Rattus norvegicus: one gene and its partners. The protein of the gene in region 4 purifies or fractionates together with the protein of the main gene of each other region. This does not show direct contact. Links are inferred from orthologs where the notes say so. Each region holds a gene or a part of one and is shown on either strand. Other genes may lie near its edges.

Evidence for each region.
Region 1: the proteins of Birc2 (region 4) and Map3k14 purify together in Homo sapiens (affinity purification with western blotting; 3 studies listed by BioGRID and IntAct, with this or other methods). This does not show direct contact. The link is inferred for Rattus norvegicus from reciprocal best matches to the Homo sapiens genes BIRC2 and MAP3K14.
Region 2: the proteins of Birc2 (region 4) and Tank purify together in Homo sapiens (affinity purification with mass spectrometry; 4 studies listed by BioGRID and IntAct, with this or other methods). This does not show direct contact. The link is inferred for Rattus norvegicus from reciprocal best matches to the Homo sapiens genes BIRC2 and TANK.
Region 3: the proteins of Birc2 (region 4) and Htra2 purify together in Homo sapiens (affinity purification with mass spectrometry; 4 studies listed by BioGRID and IntAct, counting the BioPlex papers as one, with this or other methods). This does not show direct contact. The link is inferred for Rattus norvegicus from reciprocal best matches to the Homo sapiens genes BIRC2 and HTRA2.
Region 5: the proteins of Birc2 (region 4) and Bcl10 purify together in Homo sapiens (affinity purification with western blotting; 3 studies listed by BioGRID and IntAct, with this or other methods). This does not show direct contact. The link is inferred for Rattus norvegicus from reciprocal best matches to the Homo sapiens genes BIRC2 and BCL10.
Region 6: the proteins of Birc2 (region 4) and Tnfaip3 purify together in Homo sapiens (affinity purification with mass spectrometry; 5 studies listed by BioGRID and IntAct, with this or other methods). This does not show direct contact. The link is inferred for Rattus norvegicus from reciprocal best matches to the Homo sapiens genes BIRC2 and TNFAIP3.

What each region holds. Positions count from the first base shown.
Region 1 is NC_086028.1:88,667,755-88,670,592, reverse strand, and holds part of Map3k14 (mitogen-activated protein kinase kinase kinase 14), read left to right. Parts: coding exon 1-198; intron 199-299; exon of another isoform or gene 300-359; coding exon 360-466; intron 467-1,083; coding exon 1,084-1,228; intron 1,229-2,838.
Region 2 is NC_086021.1:66,521,598-66,525,636, forward strand, and holds the start of Tank (TRAF family member-associated NF-kappa-B activator), read left to right. Parts: upstream 1-1,239; 5' UTR 1,240-1,395; intron 1,396-4,039.
Region 3 is NC_086022.1:117,114,994-117,118,967, reverse strand, and holds the start of Htra2 (serine protease HTRA2, mitochondrial), read left to right. Parts: upstream 1-1,174; 5' UTR 1,175-1,198; coding exon 1,199-1,704; intron 1,705-1,808; coding exon 1,809-2,013; intron 2,014-2,102; coding exon 2,103-2,297; intron 2,298-2,559; coding exon 2,560-2,592; intron 2,593-2,751; exon of another isoform or gene 2,752-2,807; coding exon 2,808-2,913; intron 2,914-3,061; coding exon 3,062-3,131; intron 3,132-3,785; coding exon 3,786-3,881; exon of another isoform or gene 3,882-3,887; intron 3,888-3,974. Other genes in the region: lipid droplet-regulating VLDL assembly factor AUP1, read right to left, coding at 1-130, 354-504, 584-721, 800-849.
Region 4 is NC_086026.1:13,254,541-13,258,040, reverse strand, and holds part of Birc2 (baculoviral IAP repeat-containing protein 2), read left to right. Parts: intron 1-508; coding exon 509-748; intron 749-2,905; coding exon 2,906-3,160; intron 3,161-3,500. UniProt on the Homo sapiens protein: Multi-functional protein which regulates not only caspases and apoptosis, but also modulates inflammatory signaling and immunity, mitogenic kinase signaling, and cell proliferation, as well as cell invasion and metastasis.
Region 5 is NC_086020.1:237,499,931-237,503,980, forward strand, and holds the start of Bcl10 (B-cell lymphoma/leukemia 10), read left to right. Parts: upstream 1-1,250; 5' UTR 1,251-1,375; coding exon 1,376-1,432; intron 1,433-4,050. UniProt on the Homo sapiens protein: Plays a key role in both adaptive and innate immune signaling by bridging CARD domain-containing proteins to immune activation.
Region 6 is NC_086019.1:15,528,421-15,531,200, reverse strand, and holds the end of Tnfaip3 (TNF alpha induced protein 3), read left to right. Parts: intron 1-185; coding exon 186-470; 3' UTR 471-2,280; downstream 2,281-2,780. UniProt on the Homo sapiens protein: Ubiquitin-editing enzyme that contains both ubiquitin ligase and deubiquitinase activities.

The DNA of each region.
Region 1 (2,838 bases), on a different chromosome or scaffold from region 4:
CCCCTGAGCGTCAGCCTCCTCTGCCGCCTGAACCACCGGAACCGAACAAAGCACCAGCCCTGAACCTGAGCAAGGAGGAGTCTGGCACCTGGGAACCCCTGCCTCTGTCCTCCCTGGACCCAGCCCCTGCCAAAGGCCCCAGCTTGCCAGACCGGAGGGCAACCTTCCCGGAGCTGGAGCTACAACAGCTGGAGATAGGTAGGTGCTCAGCTGTGGCCATGCCCCCTGCCCCAGCTCCACCCCCGGTCCCCCTCCCCCACCCCTCGCCGCCCAGCTCCTGCAGGCTATGCAGTGGGTACCTTGGGAACCTGGTTCCTCCTCCAGCCCTTCACTGTCTTCCTCTCCCCGCTCCCCTACAGAACTGTTCCTAAACAGCCTGTCCCAGCCGTTTTCTCTGGAGGAACAGGAACAGATTCTCTCCTGCCTCAGCATCGACAGCCTCTCACTGTCAGAGGACAGTGAAAAGGTGAGCTTGGGCCAGGGGGTTGTGCGAGCCTTAGACAGGGCAAGGGCGATGAGGTCACCCTGAGGTGGAAACTTGAAGGCTCTTTGGAGAGTCAGTTGAGTGTTGGGTGGTGTTTTGCTGGGGCAAACATGTGAAGGAATGTTTTCCTGAAGTGGACACAGGTGAAAGACTAAGGCAGATTCCTGAAGGAAAGTTTGGTAGAAGCAGACACGGGTGAAAGGTTGTCCTTGCTAAAGCAAGCATATAAGAAGGCCCGTGATAAAAGTGTTTTTTGTTTTTTGTTTTTTTTTTTTTTACTGATAACATACATATATTGGTCTGCCTCATATTACATAGTTGAGCTACATTTGTTGAGACTCTATAGAGAGAAACACACCATCATCCTCCTTGCTTGTGCCCCAAACTGAGACAGGCTGCCTCTGACACACTCAGGAATCAGAAAAGGCTTTAGGTAGTATGGAGAGTGGGAGGTAGCTTTGGTCCCTCATAGAAATGTACCTTCCCAGTCTATGGTGGGGCTGGCAGGTCTGACCCTAAGAGAGGTTCAGATCCTTTTGTCCCAAAGGAAACCAAGGCCAGAGACAGTTTCCTGAGTCTGTGCCTGGTCTTGTGTTCAGAACCCATCTAAGGCCTCTCAGAGCTCACGTGATACCCTGAGTTCCGGCGTGCACTCTTGGAGCAGCCAAGCAGAGGCCAGAAGCTCCAGCTGCAGCATGGCGCTGGCCCGGGGACGGCCCACTGACATCCCGAGCTACTTCAACGGTATGGTCTGCTTCCCCCCTCTTCCAGGCCATTCCTGCCAGTAGCCAGAGAGAGGCCGAGAGACAGTTCATTGGCCTCTCCTCCACACAGAAGGGTGGGGAGAAATGTGCTAGCCATCTAGAACTTCACACTCCTCCTGGAAAGTTGGTTTTAGACAGAGAGCCCTCACCACTCACTCACAAGGGTTCCCAGAATGGAGAACCGTTGTTCCTCCGTTGGCTACCTATAGAGTCACAGAAGGCCAACCATGTGGGGAGGAAAATGGCCAATCCTGTGCTAGGGCCAGAAGCTGAATGCTTAATGCCTATTGATGGGGAAGATCGGAACGTACCCAGGAGCAGTTTAATCAAGAAGCCAGCAACAAGTCTGTTGGCATCATTGGCCGGGATGTGAAGGCAGAAGATGAGAGGGCATTCAAATGCCTTCCTTGCAGCTTCGCTCCCCAGTCAGGTTAGGATTTCACAGGTACCAGCTCTCCCCAGACCAATGTGAGTAGCTGCCAGGCTCCAAGGCCATGCCAAAGGCCACTTCAGCTCAGAGACACTCTGAAGTTGCCTACAGTCTAATTTAAGAATGTTGGAGAGAGCGGAAGCGTGATGAGCTTGCTTCCTGTCTGAACTAAAATTGGGATGTTATGACTCAAGGCAACTAATGCTCAAAACTCAACAGAAATGGCACGGGCTAAGGTTGGGTGGCATTATTTAAGAAAAAAACGTTTACTGAGTCAGGATGCGTAGCCTAACTCGTCTGTTACATCTTTAGATTTTTCTCTCCTATATTTAAAAAAGAAAGTCTCTCTTGGATCTTGGATTTTCTGGAATTGGCTTGTTACTTTAAAAATATTTGATTGTGCCCAAAGTTGTCATGAAGGGACTCACAAGGGCGTAGACGATACTTAGGGATAGGGCGGCTGTCTGACATCCTTGACTCTGTCTGAAGAAAATGGGGATTGGAAGCCTTCTATTCCATCCAGGCTTAGAGGCGCACACCTTTAATCTCAACACTCAAGAGGCAGAGGCAAGCCGATCTCTGTCAGTTCAAGCTAGCCTGGCCTGCAGAGTTCCAGGACAGCCAGGACTACACAGAGAAACCTTTCCTTGAGGAAGTGGGGGAAAGGAAGTCTTTCATCTCCATGCGTAGATGAGACACTGCATCCCTCTCTTTAGAGGGTTTTAAATGGAATTTGGGGAACTAGAATTGCACACAATTCATTATATTGTTTATCCATTTTACCACAAAAACTTGGAGTAGTCAGGACATTAACCAAACTCTGAAATCAAGTTTGAAATGACAGTCACTTGTCACCCCTCATAAAGTAGAGGGGTTTACAGAGATGTTCGGTTGTTGCCATTTTTAGGAAAATTAATATTAATGCATCGTCTTCTTTTCGGCTGTGATGCTGAACAGGGCCTTTGTGCGTGCAGGGCAAGTGGTCCACCGCTGAGAGGACACCACCAGCCCTGAATGTGTCACACTAAAAAAGGAAGTTAGTCTGTGTCCTTTGGGTTTGTAGAAGACTTTAAAATAGCTACATGTTATCACGTGTGCCTCAGTTGACTGAACTAAACCAGGAGAAAAAGATAGCCAAGCAGTGGTGGATGGCACATGCC
Region 2 (4,039 bases), on a different chromosome or scaffold from region 4:
TGTTTCACTTCGTTGTATTTACTTTGTAAGATTTTAGTTTCCCGTTGCACGAAAGCATGTTTAGTATTTGATATTCCTCGGTGAGAGTGTGACAAGCACATAGAGCTGGAAGAAAACAAACGCTTCGCTGCGTATTTTACGAGCACATAGAAGAGTTTTTAAGCACATGCTTATTCAGCACTTTAGAAACTTAAAAAAAAATATTTTTGGGGAAGGAATAATTCCACCATATGCAGCATTATCTCTGATGTGTTTAAGATGCAATTTTAAGAGACAATAGTGCTTTAAAGTAGTAAAGGGACTAGACTATGAATCGGAAATTGGAAATTTTAGTTTCCATTAACTGGAGTTTTGGGAGATGCCTCCGCACACTTACGCGGGAACTCAGCAGGGAGACTACCCCCAGGACTCAATCTTGTTCCGACTCCTGAACTTGCTGTGAAGGAGCACAGTACAGTACGTATGAATTGCACCTGGAGACAGACCACTCCAAGTGCCCATTGCTTCTAACTTTGTGACATTGCGCACTCTCCCTCCTCTGTTTAATCATCTGCAATAAGGGGAAATGGAACAGATCGTGTCTAAGGACATTTCCATTTTTATAACAAAGAAAAATGTCCAGATATTGCTGTCTTCCATTTACATGTAAAGCCCACAGTTTAGTTCCATGCGGTCCGAGAGAAACACTCCCCCAGGGTGTGGGAACACGTGCTCAACTGTGTCAACAGTGACCTGCGTGTCAAACTAGAAATCCTGTCTAAAGAATCCTTTTTTGCTTTATTTTTCTTCCTAGTACTTACAGTCTCATTCTGGAATCTTAAGATACACCTTATTATTATTATTTTTTCTCTCTAGGCTTCATCCAACCGACCTTTGTAAGTCAGAAAGCAAAGAAAAATATACTTAAATTTAGGTTTTGCCTGTTATTTATAAATTTGATTTGGGGTCAAATGTGACTCCTTAAAGGCTAAAATGGCAATTTTTTTCAAATAAGCTTACTTTTGAAACGTTTTACATGAAAAACACTTCTTCCAAATTAAACTTTCATGTTTGTAATTTCTAGATTTTTTTTAAATGTCTTAACTATTCAGGTGAAATATCATTGCTTCAAAAGGAAGTCAGAGTTAGAGTCACGGGTGGTTTCAGAACATTTTCTGGTAGTTTTTGCTTCATTTCAATATTTTGCCATGATTGGCTGTTGATAGCTACAAATAAGGAAGTCTTCAAGTCAGGGGATTTCTCAGTGGAAGTCCCCAGTTCCTTCCACACAAGGGAGAGCTCAGGACAGTTTGGGCAGCATCTGGTAGAGCCTGTGCAAACGGTTTCCAGAATGTGTCCGTGCCTGTCTTTAAAGAGACACAGTCAGTGAAGGAAAACTTGTCACCTGGAGAAGAGGTAATCAACTCTTACTAATTTCTTTCGATTCTTAGCTTAGTAAGGAGGTTGGGGTGCCTTAAGTGTGGTAAGATCTACTCCACTCCGGCACCAGCCAACTAGGCGGTCCCAGGCACGAGTCAGCGATGCCTTTTGGCATCGTCGTCAGAATTAGAGGGATCCAAACAGTCTTTAAAGCACTGTGACTCTTTTACTCTTTGCCTAATTTTTAAGATAGAATGGGTTATGTCTTTAATTGAAATGAGTTTTAAAAGTCTTTATCTGATATGTGAGTCTTCTCAAGAAGTGATATACATGTGTGTGTGTGTATGATGTGTGTGTGTGTATGTATGTATGTATGTATGTATGTATGTATGTATTGTGAGACTGAGAGATATTTGGCCCAAGTTAGGTTACATAAAGCTTACTATGTCGAAAGTAAATTAAAAGTATATATAGTCCTACTTTTTGCTTATATTTAAGAAAAATCAATTCCAGCCTGATCGAATGTGTCTTTCTAAATGCCAAACTAGCATTAGTACTTTTACTCTCATAAGAACTATGTAATAATGAACATGTATGACATCAAGTATTAGCTTTACAAGCTATTCTAATTACAGTAATCAAAGCTTATGCTGTTTCCAACAGACCCTTTTATTTCCATCACCACAATTAAAATTGAAGATCACATCACATTATTTTCTCAAGGACAATTTCAAACTAAATATCAAGAACTCTTTTCAGTGTTGTTGTATTAAATAGTTTCTAGACACTCAATAAGAGTGTCTGCTAAAAGAAAAGGATCACATGTTTTCAGTGGTATAGTCAGACAAGACTTACTTAAATAAAAAGTCATACCATTTCATTTTACCTGGCTTTTTATCACTAACCCACCTGTCTTCTTACGATACTGAAACTGTGTTTGAGATGTTTTACCCAAGCTGGAGTAGGATGGGGAAGAGAGAAAACAAATTCATCTGAGTTACAGAATAATCACGTCATCACTGGAAACCGTCTCCCTTCTCACTCGTCCTCTGCCATCGCTAGGGTTACAGTTCCGTGAGTGTACATAGCAAGAAATACTAGTCTGCCTCTGGGAATGTGGAACTCTGTATCAGCTCAACACACTCAAAACGTATGCCCAGAAGCCAACTGGGGTTCTAGAGAAATGTCCAGTTATTTCTCTTAAACGTTTGTGATTTATGGTTACCAAGATGACTCAAAACAACTGTTAAATTCCCCTGGGGAAAAAATTCTGGTTGGAATTTTAGAAATGTGTCCGTGCCATTTAAAACCTTCCTGTCTGTGAACATCCTGTCTTTCTATGCATTGAGGATGGGACTCCGGTAAACATATGGAGTCCTTTGCATTATACATTATACATATAAATTGTAGAACGTGTTCCAGGCTAGTTTGCTTTGTCCCTTTCTGATGTGTGCACTAGGGGAATTATCTGTGTAAGGATCTTCTTTCTGGTGTGTTTTAACTACTGCTAACATCTTGATCTCATAATTTTATGTAGTCATTTTATTGATCTCTAATTTTTTCTAAATTATATAATTCACATGACCTTTTCAGATTAAAAAGAAAAATATGTGGACTTGCTTCCTCCTTCCCATCCTTCAGCATAGCAGCTAGAATTTCTGGATCAGGGCTTCATAACACAGGAAAAAGCAGTCGACTGTTACATTTCTGATCTCAGAGGAATTTCCCTAGTGGTTAATATGAAGAATGAGATTGGCTATTGGTTTGAGGTAAAAGCTTTCATGATTAAAAAAAGAAGCCCAAATAATTACCAATATCCTGATTTATTAGGGGTACATTTAATAGGCAATATCAAAGTTTCATGTTTAAAAAAATCCAATGTCTTTGATAACTTTAGAGACAACTGTGTGAGTTTGGCATTTCAAACGAGGCAGCAATCTGCCGTTTTAAAAGACTTCGAAGAAAACAGGTTGCCCTTGTGTTTCCCTGACAGAGCTGATTTTATAGTTAGAAACTGTACTCCATTGTTTCTCAGATTAAAATAATAAACTGGTTGATCAAACCGAGCCTACACATTTCCTATTTCTCTTCCATCCACATGCTTAGACGCCTCTCTCCTATCATTTTGGCTTCATATCCAGTTTACAGCTCAAACTACCAGGAAAGAATGAAAACAGTGTGGTGGAAGCCAAGGAGCCCTATCTAGGGCGAGCACCCAGAGTTACAAAAAAGCAGCTGTTCGTACGCTCCCTGCAAACAGCTTTCGAACATTACATCCAAAGAGGGTCTGCAAAATGTGTGTCCAAATTGGTTAGCATAAATGCAGTTTACATTAAGGAAGTGTATACCGAAAAGCAAACGTTTGTGGTTTGCTGAGAATTTTTGCATTCATAGACAGAAGGCAAATTTCATCCAGATTTTCATCTCATGGCACCTATCAGTAAGGAATTTGTCTACCAAAGTTTCCTTTCAGAAAGTAAAACAAGGAAAAGGCCAAAACACTTCAAATTCTAACAAGTTTCATGCATGTGGTCTGTTCCCTGAAACGTTTAAGGAATAAACCCAGAGCATCGACCTCGGCATCCCAGCCCCAACAGATAGTTCATTAAAACATTTTCCCAGTATTTTCTACTGTTGTTGATCAGAGCAAATTTAATGCCCCCCTTTTTACATAGTTTAG
Region 3 (3,974 bases), on a different chromosome or scaffold from region 4:
GCAAAGGTGTGGGTGGAAGCCTCGTGGAAGCACAGAATTTCTTGAGTGACTCCACCAACTCCACCCGCCTATCCATCTCCATGAAGCCCCGAGACCAACATACAAAGCTGGGGGGACTATTGAGTAGAGGCTGAGAGCAGGGAGAAAAAGCAAAAAGAAAAGAATGGAAGGAAATGTCAAAAATAAAGAAAGAAGAGAAGAAAGAGTAAAAAGGTAACACATAGGGTGGCGTTTATGGGACTCGAGGGAGAAGGCTCGGTATTCCCCAAGCAAACCCCAATGGGTAAAGGTGAGCCTTGAGCTTGGGCCTAGGGAGCCACCCGGTGGCGCTCTCGGCCTCGCCCCCCACTCACGGTGCTACAGGTGGTGAGAAGGTTGACTATGTTGTGGTCAAAAGGTGTTACATGGTTGGAAATAAGGACCCTGACGCGGTGATCCCGGAGTCCGGAGTCCTCCTGTCGGGCCACGAGCCCCAGTACCGCACACATGGTTCGTACCACGAACCTGGGGACAGAGGCGGCGGTGACTGTGCGGTCTTGAGCCAGGCCCAGACCAGATGATCCCCAGGCGCCGCAGTCCGCACCTGCGGAGGACGCTGTCAGGAAGAGCACAGCTGACCAGGAAGACGTGGAGCCCGAGGAAGAGTCGCAGAACCAGGAGGCAGAGGCCGACCGGCGCGTAGAGCAATAGCGCGAGCAGCAGGAAGCCGTCACTCGGGAGCCTGTGGCGAGAGGCGACGCGATCAGGCGCCGAAGCCGACGGGACGCGCTGACCGGTCTCTTCCCTCCGCAGCGCTTACCGGTGCGAGTCAAAGAGCCGCTCCGGCCCCGGAGCTGGGGGAGGTTCCATCGCAGCCGCTTCAGGAAAGTGGGGCCGCTGTCGCCGCCATCTTCGCAGGGCCGCGGGGGCTCCTGGGAAGGCGGAGTCTTTGGGCAGCCGCAGGGACGCTAGAACCCGTGGCCCGGAGGCGCCCCGGAAGGGCTAGCGTTCCCAGCATGCCTCGCGGCACGGGGGAAGTGTATGTGTGTGTGTTTGTGTGGGGGCGTGTGTACGGTCTAGAGAGCGCGTCTTTGAAGGGACTACATTTCCCGGCATACACTGTAAGGATACCGGCATGCCTTGCTTCTCCTAGACGGCTTGCTGGGCTCCAGAAGACCGCCTCTGAGTAGGGCGGGCGTGGAGAGCCGAGGCGGAGCAGATGGCTGCGCTGAAGGCGGGGCGGGGTGCAAACTGGAGCCTTCGGGCATGGCGGGCTTTGGGGGGCATCTTCTGGAGGAAGGGCCCCCTGTTAGCCCCTGACCTCCGGGCTCTGCTGACGTCAGGAACTCCTGACCCTCAGGCCCGGATGACTTATGGGACCCCCAGTCTCCCGGCCCGGGTGCCTTTGGGGGTCCTTGCATCACGGGCAAATCTGACGTCTGGGACCCCGGATCTCTGGGTACGACTGACTGTGGGGACTCCAGGCTCTAGTGACCAGGAGGACTGCGGGAGCCCTGGAAGCCGTCGGCGCGAATGGCTAGCGGTGGCGTTGGGCGCAGGGGGTGCAGTGCTGCTGTTGTTGTGGGGTTGGGGGCGGGGTCCTTCCACGGTGCTGGCTGCTGTTCCTGCTCCGCCACCCACCTCTCCCCGGAGCCAGTACAATTTCATCGCAGACGTGGTGGAGAAGACAGCCCCTGCTGTGGTCTATATCGAGATCCTAGACCGGTAATGGTGAAGTTGACCAGGTGGTGTTGAAACCAAATGCCGGAAAGGCAAGGGAACAGGATAGGGTGGAAGCTGCAGTGTAATCGGTGCTTTCCCCATCCCAGGCACCCTTTCTCCGGCCGTGAAGTCCCCATCTCAAACGGTTCAGGATTCATAGTGGCTTCAGATGGGCTCATCGTAACCAACGCCCACGTGGTGGCTGATCGGCGCCGAGTGCGAGTGAGGCTACCTAGCGGAGACACTTATGAGGCCATGGTCACAGCTGTGGATCCTGTAGCAGACATTGCCACATTAAGGATTCAAACCAAGGTGGGAATGGAGTAGGCCAGATCTGATGGCAGCAGTTTACTTCCTTCCGTCTTAAAATGACCAGTTTTGGTGTACTCATTTCCCTTAAGGAGCCTCTTCCCACACTGCCCCTCGGCCGCTCCGCTGATGTCCGGCAAGGGGAGTTTGTTGTTGCCATGGGAAGTCCCTTCGCTCTGCAGAACACCATCACGTCCGGCATTGTCAGCTCTGCTCAGCGACCAGCCAGGGACCTGGGGCTCCCTCAGACCAACGTGGAATACATTCAGACCGATGCAGCTATTGACGTGCGTCCTGAGAGGAGGGAAATTAGGTGCTAGGTGGGAATTGGGGGCAACAGCTGTCAGGTATGATCACCAGCTGACACCAGCTGACACGTGGTGACTGGGCCTGTAGCAGAGGTTGGTCTGCAAAATGCAGCCACTCTAGTTCATGCTAGGAATGGAATTCGAAGTATTTCCCTAACCCTGTTTATGACCACAGTCTTAAAATTCCCAGAGGCATGGAATTCCAGATCTTTTTGATGTTTTCTTTCATTTTATCTCACAGTTTGGAAATTCTGGTGGTCCCCTGGTTAACCTGGTGAGTGCCCATGTTCTAAGAATGCATGCCCCACAGGTCAGTGTGGGAAGTGTGTGTTATCCTCTGATTCAGGGAGTTTTAGCTAAGTCTCTAGCCTCTTGTTCGTCTCCTCATAGTCAGACAGACCCCTGTCCCCAAATCCTTGCTACTCTTGTTCAGGTGCCCCCATCCTCTGCCATCTGTGTGGGCTAGGGGATGGGGCTGTGTCCCTGCAGGATGGGGAGGTGATTGGAGTGAACACCATGAAGGTGACAGCTGGAATCTCCTTTGCCATCCCTTCTGATCGCCTTAGGGAGTTCCTGCATCGCGGGGAGAAGAAAAGTGAGCCTGTCTTACAGGGAAAGGGATTCCTTTAAAATGGAGGAGGGGACCCAAGGGAGGGGCATTCATCAGGACTTGGTGTAGAGGGGTCTAACTGGTAGGAAGTAAGGGAAAGAATGAAGCTGGTGGGCTCATGTTCTCTTTACAGATTCCTGGTTTGGAATCAGTGGGTCCCAACGCCGCTACATTGGAGTGATGATGCTGACTCTGACCCCCAGGTATACATATATATAGGACCCATGTTCTCAGTGGTGCACCTCTTGGCTTTTGCTCCTATGTTTGTCTTTAATATTAGCTGTTGTCTCTGTCACAGAGCTGCTCCCTCTCATCATAACTTTCTCACCTATGCATCTCGTACCCTTCAGTAGACTGAGTACATCCTGTTATTACCATAATGTAAAGCCTCCATTGCCCTAGCATTGAGGAACGATCTCTCCCACCTCTAGTTATCCTTCTAGACAGCTCATCATTTCCTCAGAGTGACTTTGACTTTCCACTTCTATGTCTCAACTTTATTTCATACAGTTGTAGGGCCCACCCTTCTAGGCTTAGCTTAAGTTCTACCCCTTCCTTACCGTAGAATTTCAGAGTGACAGAAGTGAAGTTGATTCAACACTGTGTATCTTTTGAAATTAGCTGTCTTTTTTTTTTTTTTTTTTTTTTGGTTCTTTTTTTTTTTTTCGGAGCTGGGGACCGAACCCAGGGCCTTGCGCTTCCTAGGTAAGCGCTCTACCACTGAGCTAAATCCCCAGCCCCAGTTAGCTGTCTTTTATGTGTGTATCCTACTTCCTAAGCTCTAGAAGGCAGAAAGTGAACTGTCAAGATGGGAGAGGGCCTGTGTGTTGCTAACAGAGTGGTCTGTACCCTTCCAGCATCCTTGCTGAGCTACAGCTCCGAGAGCCAAGTTTCCCTGATGTTCAGCATGGTGTCCTCATTCATAAAGTTATCCTGGGCTCCCCTGCACACAGGTGATGTGGCGCCTGCTCGGTGGGGTGGGTTGGGTGGGGTGGGGTGGTGTGGATGTATCCTTGAACTCAGCTGTCCACTCCTTCCTTGCCCTG
Region 4 (3,500 bases):
CCCAACACCTGCATGCAGGCATCTCACAACTGTCTGTAGCTCCAGTTCCAGGGACCCAACACCTTACACATGCAGGTAAAACACTAGTGCCACAGAAGCAAATAAACTATTTTTTAAAAAAGAGGACAACTTTGGGAATTAGTTCTCTTCTTACCCCCTTATGGATTCTGTGAGTTGAACGTAGGCTTGGAGCAAGTGTCTTTACCACTGAGCCATTCCAACAACACTTCAAATTTTTTTAGCAACAGATTCCTAAGCAAATTGCCAAGAGATTTTTTTGTTTTAAGTTTACGGCAGGATGTAGGTACTGTATGAAGTGATTTTTTTTTTTTTTAAGATGCATAGTACACTAATTGTTCAAAGTTCAAATCGTATTGAAATTAATTTAATTGTTGCGCATGGTATGTCTCATTTATTAGGACATGAATAAAAATGGTGCCACAGGCATTATATTTTCCATAGTTTTAAATTTGTGGAGTTTAATAGTAGCAAATTTGTTTACAAACAGTTGTGCATCTGGGCCCTGGAGAGAATTGGGAAGATGCAGTGATGATGAACACACCTGTGGTTAAAGCAGCCTTGGATATGGGCTTCAGTAGGAGCCTGGTGAGACAGACGGTTCAGCGACAGATCCTGGCCACTGGTGAGAACTACAGGACGGTCAGTGATATTGTCTCAGCACTTCTGAATGCTGAAGATGAGAGAAGAGAAGAGGAGAAGGAGAGACAGAGTGAAGAGACGGCATCAGGTAGCATTGGTGGCTGCAGGTTTTCAGTTACCTGTTACGTGCAGCATCCTCACCTCTCACCCATAAATGGCTGCTGATACTCTCCTCCTCTGGACATACCTAAACTGTCTCTTTGCCAAGCTCAGGCTAGCTTCATATTCGGTCTATAGCTAGTGCTGTCCTTGAACATCCCTGAGGTTCCTGCCCCCACCTCCAAAGTGCTGAGGTTACATGTATATGTAACATTACACAGATTTACAATAAACTTCTTTTGAGCTGTATTGCATTTCTTCTGTATACATAACTAAAACTGAAAAAAGCATGACTTAAGGGACTTGAGGGATTGCTCAGTGGTAAAGAGCCCTTGTAAAGGACTTGAGTTTGGTTTCTATTGTCTAAGTAAAGTCCAGTGTCTCACAACTGCCTACAACTCTAGTTCCTGGGGATCTGACCCCCTCTTAAGACCTTTGCATGTACCTGGTACACAAACATACACTCAGGCACATACACATAATTTTTTGTTTTTGTTTTTTAAGCAAGATCTAAAAACTGGTTCAAAGCTGGTTGTAATGGAACATACCTAATTCTTACAATCGTGGCATTCAGGAGAGTAAGACGGGTACTGAGTTTACGGTCAGCCTACATTCCAAAGCAAGAATCTACTTTTTAAATAAAGTTCCTTCAAATTTGGTTTCTAATATGACATTTTACCTAATAATCCTTGGTAGGTGATCCTTACACCAAAAATTTGATTTTAAGATGACATCCTAGGCTGTGGTCCTTTGCCCAACCCAAGGATAATAGACAAATGACTTGGATATTTGTGTAGATTTTATTAAGTCTTAATCTCCTTGAATAAATCTTCCTCTGGGTAATTATATCTTCAACAAATATGCATATATTTAAATATGTAAATAGTAGAAGTAAATAAATGTGAAGTATTGATTATTTTCAAGGAGTATGTAGACTAGCTGGGAATAGTGGTTGCAAAGACAGGATTAGAGGGCCATCGGGAGCCTGCAAGATGGCTTAATGGGGAAAGGTGCTTGCTACACGCTTCCTCTCTCTCTCTCTCTCTCTCTCTCTCTCTCTCTCTCTCTCTCTCACACACACACACACACACACACACACACACTGATTCCTATAAGTTAGGTGCTGTGGCAGGACTGCCTCCCCCAACACACACTAAGGAAAGAAAAAAATTTTTTTTTTTTTTTTTTTTTAAAAAAGAGAGGTCTAGTTGGCTACAGCCTTATTATGTGACCATATCACAAAAAGTTTAAAATTCTAACTTCTGGATTGAGATAGATTTATGTTTCAATCCTGGCCTTTTGGTTAGTAAGTAGGTAGTACATTCAATTAAATTGAAGGTTTCTCATCTCTGAAGTAAAGTAATCTTATGAATAAGCTAGATTCATTTTTAAAAACTATACTATAAATTTAGATTTATAAAATAAAGCTGGCTATGTGTTACATGTGAGGTATTGTGCAGTGTGGTTTATGTGCATTTTATTTAATTCTTTGAGGAAGATGATATTATTCCTATTTCAGATCAGGTGTATATAGCAGGAGGACACATGGCTATTAAGTGGCTAGACTTGCCTGGGAGCCAAGCATAGTCCATCATGTCTTGTAGCTTAAGCTCTTGAGCATTGTAGTTGTATAGAAGGCATGGAGTCTCAGCCTCTAGGCTGAAGATGTAGCTTATTGATAGAGTCCTTGCCTGACATTCACAAACCCTGAGTTCCATTATCAGCACTATGTAAATCGGGCATAGGGGTTCATGTCTGTAATCCTAGCTCTTGGAATGGAGGTAGAGTCAGGATTGGGGGAACATAGGTACATGAGGTCCTGTCTCAATAAATAACAAACCAGAAAGCTCAACTAGTTTAGGATTCTGGGGAAAGAGAAAAAAGAGAGGACACATGGTTTACTACTCTCTAAAATTTTCTGCTTGCTCACAACAATTTGAAGGATTTTTTTTTTAATTGTGTGATATATCGGAGTTTAATCTGTAAGATTAACATGACACTTGATTGCATTGATGTGCAATCAAGTCATTTCTGAGAAGTCCTTCAAGCTCAGCTTAGTGCCTAATTTGTACATAGGGTTGGTTGGGTGTAAGTTGGGGGTGTTTGAAATTTAATGGAACTTTTTCTTGCTTGTTTTTAAATGAAGGTGACTTGTCATTGATTCGGAAGAATAGAATGGCCCTCTTCCAACAGTTGACGTGTGTCATTCCTATCCTGGATGATCTTCTTGAGGCCAGTGTACTTACAAAGGAGGAACATGATATTATCAGACAGAAAACACAGATACCCTTACAAGCAAGAGAGCTCATCGACACCATCTTAGTCAAGGGAAATGCTGCAGCCAGCGTCTTCAAAAACTCTCTGAAGGAAGTCGACTCTACGCTATATGAACACTTATTTGGTGAGTTTATTGGAAAAAATTATTTAGATACCTATAGGGTTTGAGTTGTCTCTCCATTGATAAAGCAGAATAAATCTAGTTTAAACCTGTAATCTTTACATTTTATCTATTTTTTTAAAAAGTGATGTATTTTATTGCCTGGACAGTATTTTTTTTTTTTTTTTTTTTTTTTTTTGGTTCTTTTTTTCGGAGCTGGGGACCAAACCCAGGGCCTTGTGCTTCCTAGGCAAGCGCTCTACCACTGAGCTAAATCCCCAGCCCCGACAGTATTCTTTGTAATATATAGCAAAAAAAAAAAAACAAACAAACAAAAAAAACTATGTAAAAGTAGTAGGTTAAA
Region 5 (4,050 bases), on a different chromosome or scaffold from region 4:
AGTACTTGAACAGACACTTGCTACAGGAAAGAGCAAATGATTAAGCAAATTGGGTTATAGCAAGATGCAGGATGACTAAGGGCACAGAAAAACTCTAGTAAACTAGACATCAGTGTGAAAAAACACCTGGTATAATGTGAATACCAGGATTCCAGGGCTCTGAGCAGAGCTATGGAGATGTGGCTCTATGCCTCTTGTGGTTCTTTGATTTTAGATAGATTCCTGTTACCTTTGGTCGTCTTGTCATTTCAATCTGTGCTTGTAGATTTACCGCATTGGTCACATAATCGTTTTCTGCCCAGGACTCTATGTGGAGCTCCTTATCCACTATGTGCCGCACAAGCTACGAGTTAAAATACCATTCTGAAAATAGCCATTTGGCCTCCAAAAAGATAACTTCCCCATCACGACATACCTAGCACTTACAGTGATAAAGGCTAACAGTAAACGAGAGTGCAACTGTGCACCGAGTAGCTTCAGAGCCTTAAATATGCTCCTAGAGACCCTAGAAGCTTTTTAAATGTATCTTTATTGCATAGATTAATACGGAGAAATGTTCCTAACGAATAGAGACTTAAAAGTACCTGAACACTACCTCTGCTGCTAAATTGATGGGATTGCAGTTAATTATTAAATCTTAAACACCTTTTTCGTTTTTTTATTGTGTTTTGTTATTTTGTTTTCTGCACTCAATATCTTCTTGTTTCTGTCTCCCAAGTTCTAGGTGGCAAATGGCAGTAGGCCCCGGACCAGGCTTTCAAACATTTCAATACTGGTTATATTATGTTATATATTATACATTTGTGTATGATCAAGCAATTGTAAAACCTGGCCCAGCACAACAGGAAATTGTTCCGCAACAGAGGGAGAAGCAAACCAAAATGCCCTGGCCTACTCAGCCCACACTCTACCCAAAAGAGGAGTCTGCGAGGGCGGGGAGATCCCGCTACACTGAGCGGCCAACGCCCCGCCCACGGAAACGAATCCTTCTCTTGGGGCCAATCCGCAATCCTAGTAAATAACAAGCGGGCGTAGTTAGAGGCAAGGCTGCTGTGGGCGGAGCCACTTCGGAAGAAGGGACGAAACCTAGGGCTAGTAATGATTGGCTGGCACGGAAGTGGGCGGGGCCTGCAGGTAGACCCGCCTCGCCGAAGGGTGGTGCCTAAGTTAGGATGGACTCTGAGTGCGGCGCCGCAGGCCCCGGAGGCGGAGCCGGAAGTGGGGCGTTGAGGTCTCCTCCTCCGCGTTCCGTGAACCGGCGGTTCCCCCGCTTCTGTTCCTAGTCCTCCCAAGTCACAGCCCGATTCCCGGAGGCCCGAGCCCTTAGCCAGGGCGGGGTGGCGCGGGCCGAAAGGACGCCATCCCGGCCTCGGCCATGGAGGCTCCCGCGCCGTCTCTCACGGAGGAGGACTTAACTGAAGTGAAGAAGGACGTGAGTAGCTCCGCCGGGCTGGACGCAGCGGGGCGGGCGGGGGCGGAGGAAAGCGGAAACCCAGAGCCGAGCGACGGGGAACCTCAGGTCGGAAGAGCGCCAGGTCCCGGCACAGCACGACCCGCCTGCTTCCCCGGAGCTGGCTTCAAATGATCCACCAGAGACCTGGGAGTCCACGGTTAAACCTGTCAACGCCGGCTTGGGTTTATCTTTGCTATCGGCTTCTCGCTGGTGGCTTTCCATCCTGTTGATCCCCGACTCCATCCCATCCCCGAGGGAGCTGCTAGGCTAGGGAGCGGTCCGAATCTGTCCACAGCGGGCTCTGGACCAGGTATGCCCCAGGCATAGAGCAGATAGGTGAAACTCTATACGGGGGGCTGCGGAAAGCTCGCCCTTTGAAAGGACGCCCTGGAATTCCCCTAGTAATCAGACGCCCACATATTTAAATGAAGGGGATGTGCTTACTTCTCGCTGAGACTTGACTCTCTCAGGTAAACGTTGAAAATAGTCATAGCTAAATTGGACTCTCCTGCTTAGACCACGTAGAACTTCGCATACACATTAATATTTGAGAATATGGCTTTAAACACAACGTGCTTCGTTTTTCATTCCCTTTAATTACTTATTTTGCCAGGAAAAAAAATCAAATGAGTACCATTTACATGATATATATGGATTCACTTTAAAAACAGTAATTTGTTCGTACCTAGCACCGCAGTGCTGGTGAAAAGTCGTCTTTTCGAACTTGACTGCAAGTTGTTGCAGATGTCCGCGTGCTTCTGATCTCTTTTTCTACTATACCTTACCCCTTGTAAAGGTTTATTGCACTGTACCCAACCCATAATTACAGCTGGACTAGCTCAGTACCAGAAGGAAAAGGTCCAACTGGCATTACTGCCATCGTTTCCGTGTTCAGGGGAATTGGTAGGGCACTTACTGTATGGGAAACTTTACATTTCTACTTGAGACTAGGTCTTTGATAACCACTCCGGCCTTAAGATGCCAGTAAAACCGTAACCTTAAAATATGGTAGCTGCGGTCTCCGTTGTCGGACACAGTTTTGAATTTTCTCACAATCATTAAGGGAGAGAATTGCTTTTCATTTTGTAGCTGGCAAAACAAGCCAAGACCTGAGTATAGATAGAAGAGTGCTGCAGACCTTTGTTTCTGCCCATCGACGTCTATCCATTCTGACAGTTTCAGGTCAGACCTGTATCAGCTGTCCATAACCTTAGAGAAACTTTAGATACACCTTAGGATGTCTATAAAAACAGTTTTCTTAGGTAGTTACCCAGTTATTTTTTAAACTGCTTATAACAAGCTTAAAAATTTATCCGCAGTTCTTGAACTTCCTTTTTTCTCAACTCCAGGCCTTTATTTCTACCAGAACCAAGCTATAACATCATACATTTGGTTGTTGTTTTTCTGTGTAACTCTGGCTGTCCTGGAACTCATTCTGTAGACGAAGCTGGCCTCAACTTGGAGATCTTCCTTCCTCTGCCTCCCAAGTGTTGGGATTAAAGGCATAGCCACCACTGCTTGCCATGTTCTTTTATTTTCAGAACTGGAACTTTTCGTTATCCTTCCCCCAAAACTGCTTGGTGTTCCTTCTGTGTTATCTGCTTGGATAAATGGTGGGAAGTTGTTTCCATGGGGCTCTGTCTGACTCAGGGTTTGCTTTCTTTGGCTTCTGTTGCCTGTGGGTCAGCCATAGTCCAAAAATACTTAATGGGAATTTGCTACATTTATAGTGTTACAGATTGAGCACCATGATAAAATCCTGGCCAGGGGCATGAGTTGCACCTTTTCCCCAGTACTGTGTGTCACCTGCCTGTTAGTCTCTTCATAGCTAGCTGTGTGGGTTATTACATTGGTTTTGATGGAGGAGAGCTTGGGATGGGGTTGGTACTGTGAAGTTTTGCACATCCATTGAGAATCTTGGTCCATGTCCTCCCATGCTAGCTGGGAGCGAGTCTTCAGTGCTCCTCCCCTTCTTCATGTTTATTTAACATGCCCCTATTTTGGTTGAATTTGTTCCATTTTAACAAATAGAGATAACTTTATATTCTGAGTTGATAATGTAACAGTTAAACTAAGAACTAAGGGACTAGAGAGATGGCTTAGCAGTTAAGAGCACTGACTGCTCTTCCAGAGGTTCTGAGTTCGATGCTCACAACCATCTGTAATGGGATCCAATGCCCTCTTCTGGTGTGTCTGAAGACAGCCACAGTGTGCTCACATAAATAAATAAATCTCTAAAAAAAAAAAAAGCTCAATTTCTTGAATGAAGGAAAATAGCCATAAAATAATAACTTTAAAATAGTATATTAAAATTTTCATTCATCTAAAGCACTGTACTTTGAAATGCAGAGTATACAGCAGTAAACAGAACGTCCGTGCTGTTTACCTGCTTCAAACATACAGGTGGTGAAAGCTGAAAAGGATGTCTGTCATTTACACAAGCACATTTGTAAGTTCACTCGGAGCTACGAAGACAAGCACCAGGGCAGTCATTGTACATGCAATTCGATCCTCAGGTGTGCTTGATTGATTCTTAAAGGTTCTAATAGAGAACCTGGGAGAAGAGCATTTGATACAGAGAATTTGACAAGGACCTA
Region 6 (2,780 bases), on a different chromosome or scaffold from region 4:
TGGGATTGGCGGTCCTCAGTTACACATACACTTCTCCCACTCAGGCAGATCGAACACTCGGTAGAATCCACCCTGTTAATTTGAAGTCCCTCTGGTCTCCTGAGAAATGTAACACCTCTCTCTCTCTCTCTCTCTCTCTCTCTCTCTCTCTCTCTCTCTCTCTCTCTCTCTCTCTTCCCACTCAGAGATCAAGCCAGCGTAGAGAAATGCCTCGAACCACACAGGGAGCCTCAAGGCCGAAGTGTGCCCGGGCCTCTTGCAAGAACATCCTGGCTTGTCGCAGTGAGGAACTCTGTATGGAGTGCCAGCACCTAAGCCAGCGAATAGCTTCTTTGGCCCACCGGGGTGAGCCCACTCCTGAAGAGCCCCCTAAGCAGCGCTGCCGGGCCCCTGCTTGCGATCACTTTGGCAATGCCAAGTGTAATGGTTACTGCAATGAGTGCTACCAGTTCAAGCAGATGTACGGCTAAGTGCGGACACATTGATTGGTCCCGGAAGAAGGGGGCCTCAAACTGCCAGCCAGAGTGGTGCTGTCGTCCAGACCCCTGAGTGCCACGGGAAGGGTGGGCCCTGGGACAGTGGCTTCAAGTGTCTTTGAGCAAAGTAGACCAGATAAGCTCTTCCCTCATCATGGCCATGGCCGTCCGGTTGGTAACCAAGACTGTGTCCTGGTGGGCTGAGAGTAGACCTGGTTACCGGCAGTGCATGAGGTCGGGTTCAGTCTGAAGCTGTCGCTGCTCCACCTACCAGGAGGCTGGGGAGATCTTCAATGCAAGCGAAGACTGGCAGCGGTTCCTGAGCCTGGCTGCCAGGAAACAGGAAGAAAGGAAGGTGGGCTGGCGACTGGGACTATCCTGCTGTCCCCTGGAAGCTTTTCTCGGAGAGCCAAAGCTAAATTCCAGAGCACCGAGGCCCTCCTCCGCAAGATGCTAGGGGAAGCTCAGGGAAAACGGACATCGGCAGAGCGCATCTGTGGCCACTGGGCTTCCCTACCTGCCAACATGGCTCCCAAGGTTCTGCAGGAAAACAGAGCCACACACAGACTGTGATCCTGAGGCTGCTGCTGAAATGAGACATGTGCACATGGAGACACAACGAGCTGCTCTTGACTGTATGCACCTTCTAGACAGTAGACCGTCTTAGTGGGAAGACAAACCAGCGTTGGTCATTGTTGTCCTCCAGTCCGAAGAGAGTAGTTTGGACTGAGGTGTGTATCAGAGTGTGTACAAATGTAATATACCCTTATATTATGTATGAGGGATTTTTAAGACATTGAAATGGTGCCCTAGAGGTAGACTGAATAATAATAACCTATTTTCTGGTTGTTGTCAGGTTGCCCCTGACAGCTTGTTATGTGAATTCAACAAGCTGCCTTCTTAAAGGGAGCCTTCATTCTGCCTTATTTATTTTGAACTTCAGAATTATTTAAATGAAGAGTCCCTTCCACAGTATTCTCTTGAAATAACATATTTGCTTTTCACCATGTCCCGGGAACCCGGCGAGTTCCTGGCCCCAGAGTGTGGTGGGGTGATTGTCTTCTCTCTACTTGTTGCCTCCCTAGGAAAGAAGGGGTTGCTTTCTGAACAAAGCCTGTAGAATCTGATGCTTCTTATGACTCCCTGGCTGCACAAGAAGAAAACGTTCTGTCTTCCATAGATGTTTCTAAGTATCCTACCTCTTTGAAGAAAAATAGGAATGGAGTGAGGTGACAGTGGGACAGGACACAGAAATATGTGTCCTTTCACGACCTTTGCTTACTATGTAAATGCTGTGCCCCTTGGGTACCGGATCGGAACATTGAGATAGCAAAGCCAGTAGCCATGAGGATGAGGAGGTTTCTGCCATTGGCTCGCAGCTTCTCTGTGTGCTTTGGACTTGCGCAGGAGGGAAATGCAGCTGTGCAGGGGTCAAGGCTGACATCTGGGGTCTGGCCCAGCACCTGACGATACTTGTGATGTCGAGCTCTACCTAGCCTTTTCTCTTCATATCTGCTGCGTGTCCTTCCCTGACGTACATCTTTGTCCTTCTTCCCCAAAGATGTCAAATACAATGCATCTTCATCTAGTTCTTTCAGAGTTAATAGCCTATTATTTTGTGTTTATTTGATATTTTCATTGTTAATGTGAAATCATGAAATTATTTATACTTATTATAGAAAGTATGTGAAATTTGCACAGTTGTCTTTCAAAGTATGGGGTCTACCTTTTTCGGACTTCAGATTACCTTGAACTGTAACTTCACAAAAGTCAATATTAAAAGAATAAATTATTTAAGAACAAATTCCAATGCCTTCTGTTAATGAGTTGTTGGAAGAAGATGGGCTCAGATGTGAAGATTTTGATGTATACGGGGCCATGGGTGGGCCTCTTATCCATGGAAAGGATGATAGCTTCTGAAAAATAATCAGAGGGTTGGGGAGACAGCTCAGTCCATAAGTGCTTGTTACATAAGCATGGGGCACTGAGTTCAACAGATGCATGCATATAGTTGCATATGTATGCACATACAGGAATGCACATGAACACACACATGAATCAGTGCATAAGAATAAGGCCATGTATGTACTCAAGCACAGTCCTTGGGTTTAAAATCAATGACACGGAAGCCAGATGGATGTGGGAAAGCTTCTCCCTCTACACCTCTCCAGAGATCATACGAGGTCTCTAGCGACTCCTGCTGGGGCATTTAGGAGGGAGAGACGTGAACCCAGTGGGAAAAGGAAGCATTTTCCTCTGCTTATCTCTTACACAGTAATTGCTAGTCCAGGGTTCTGTGATCAT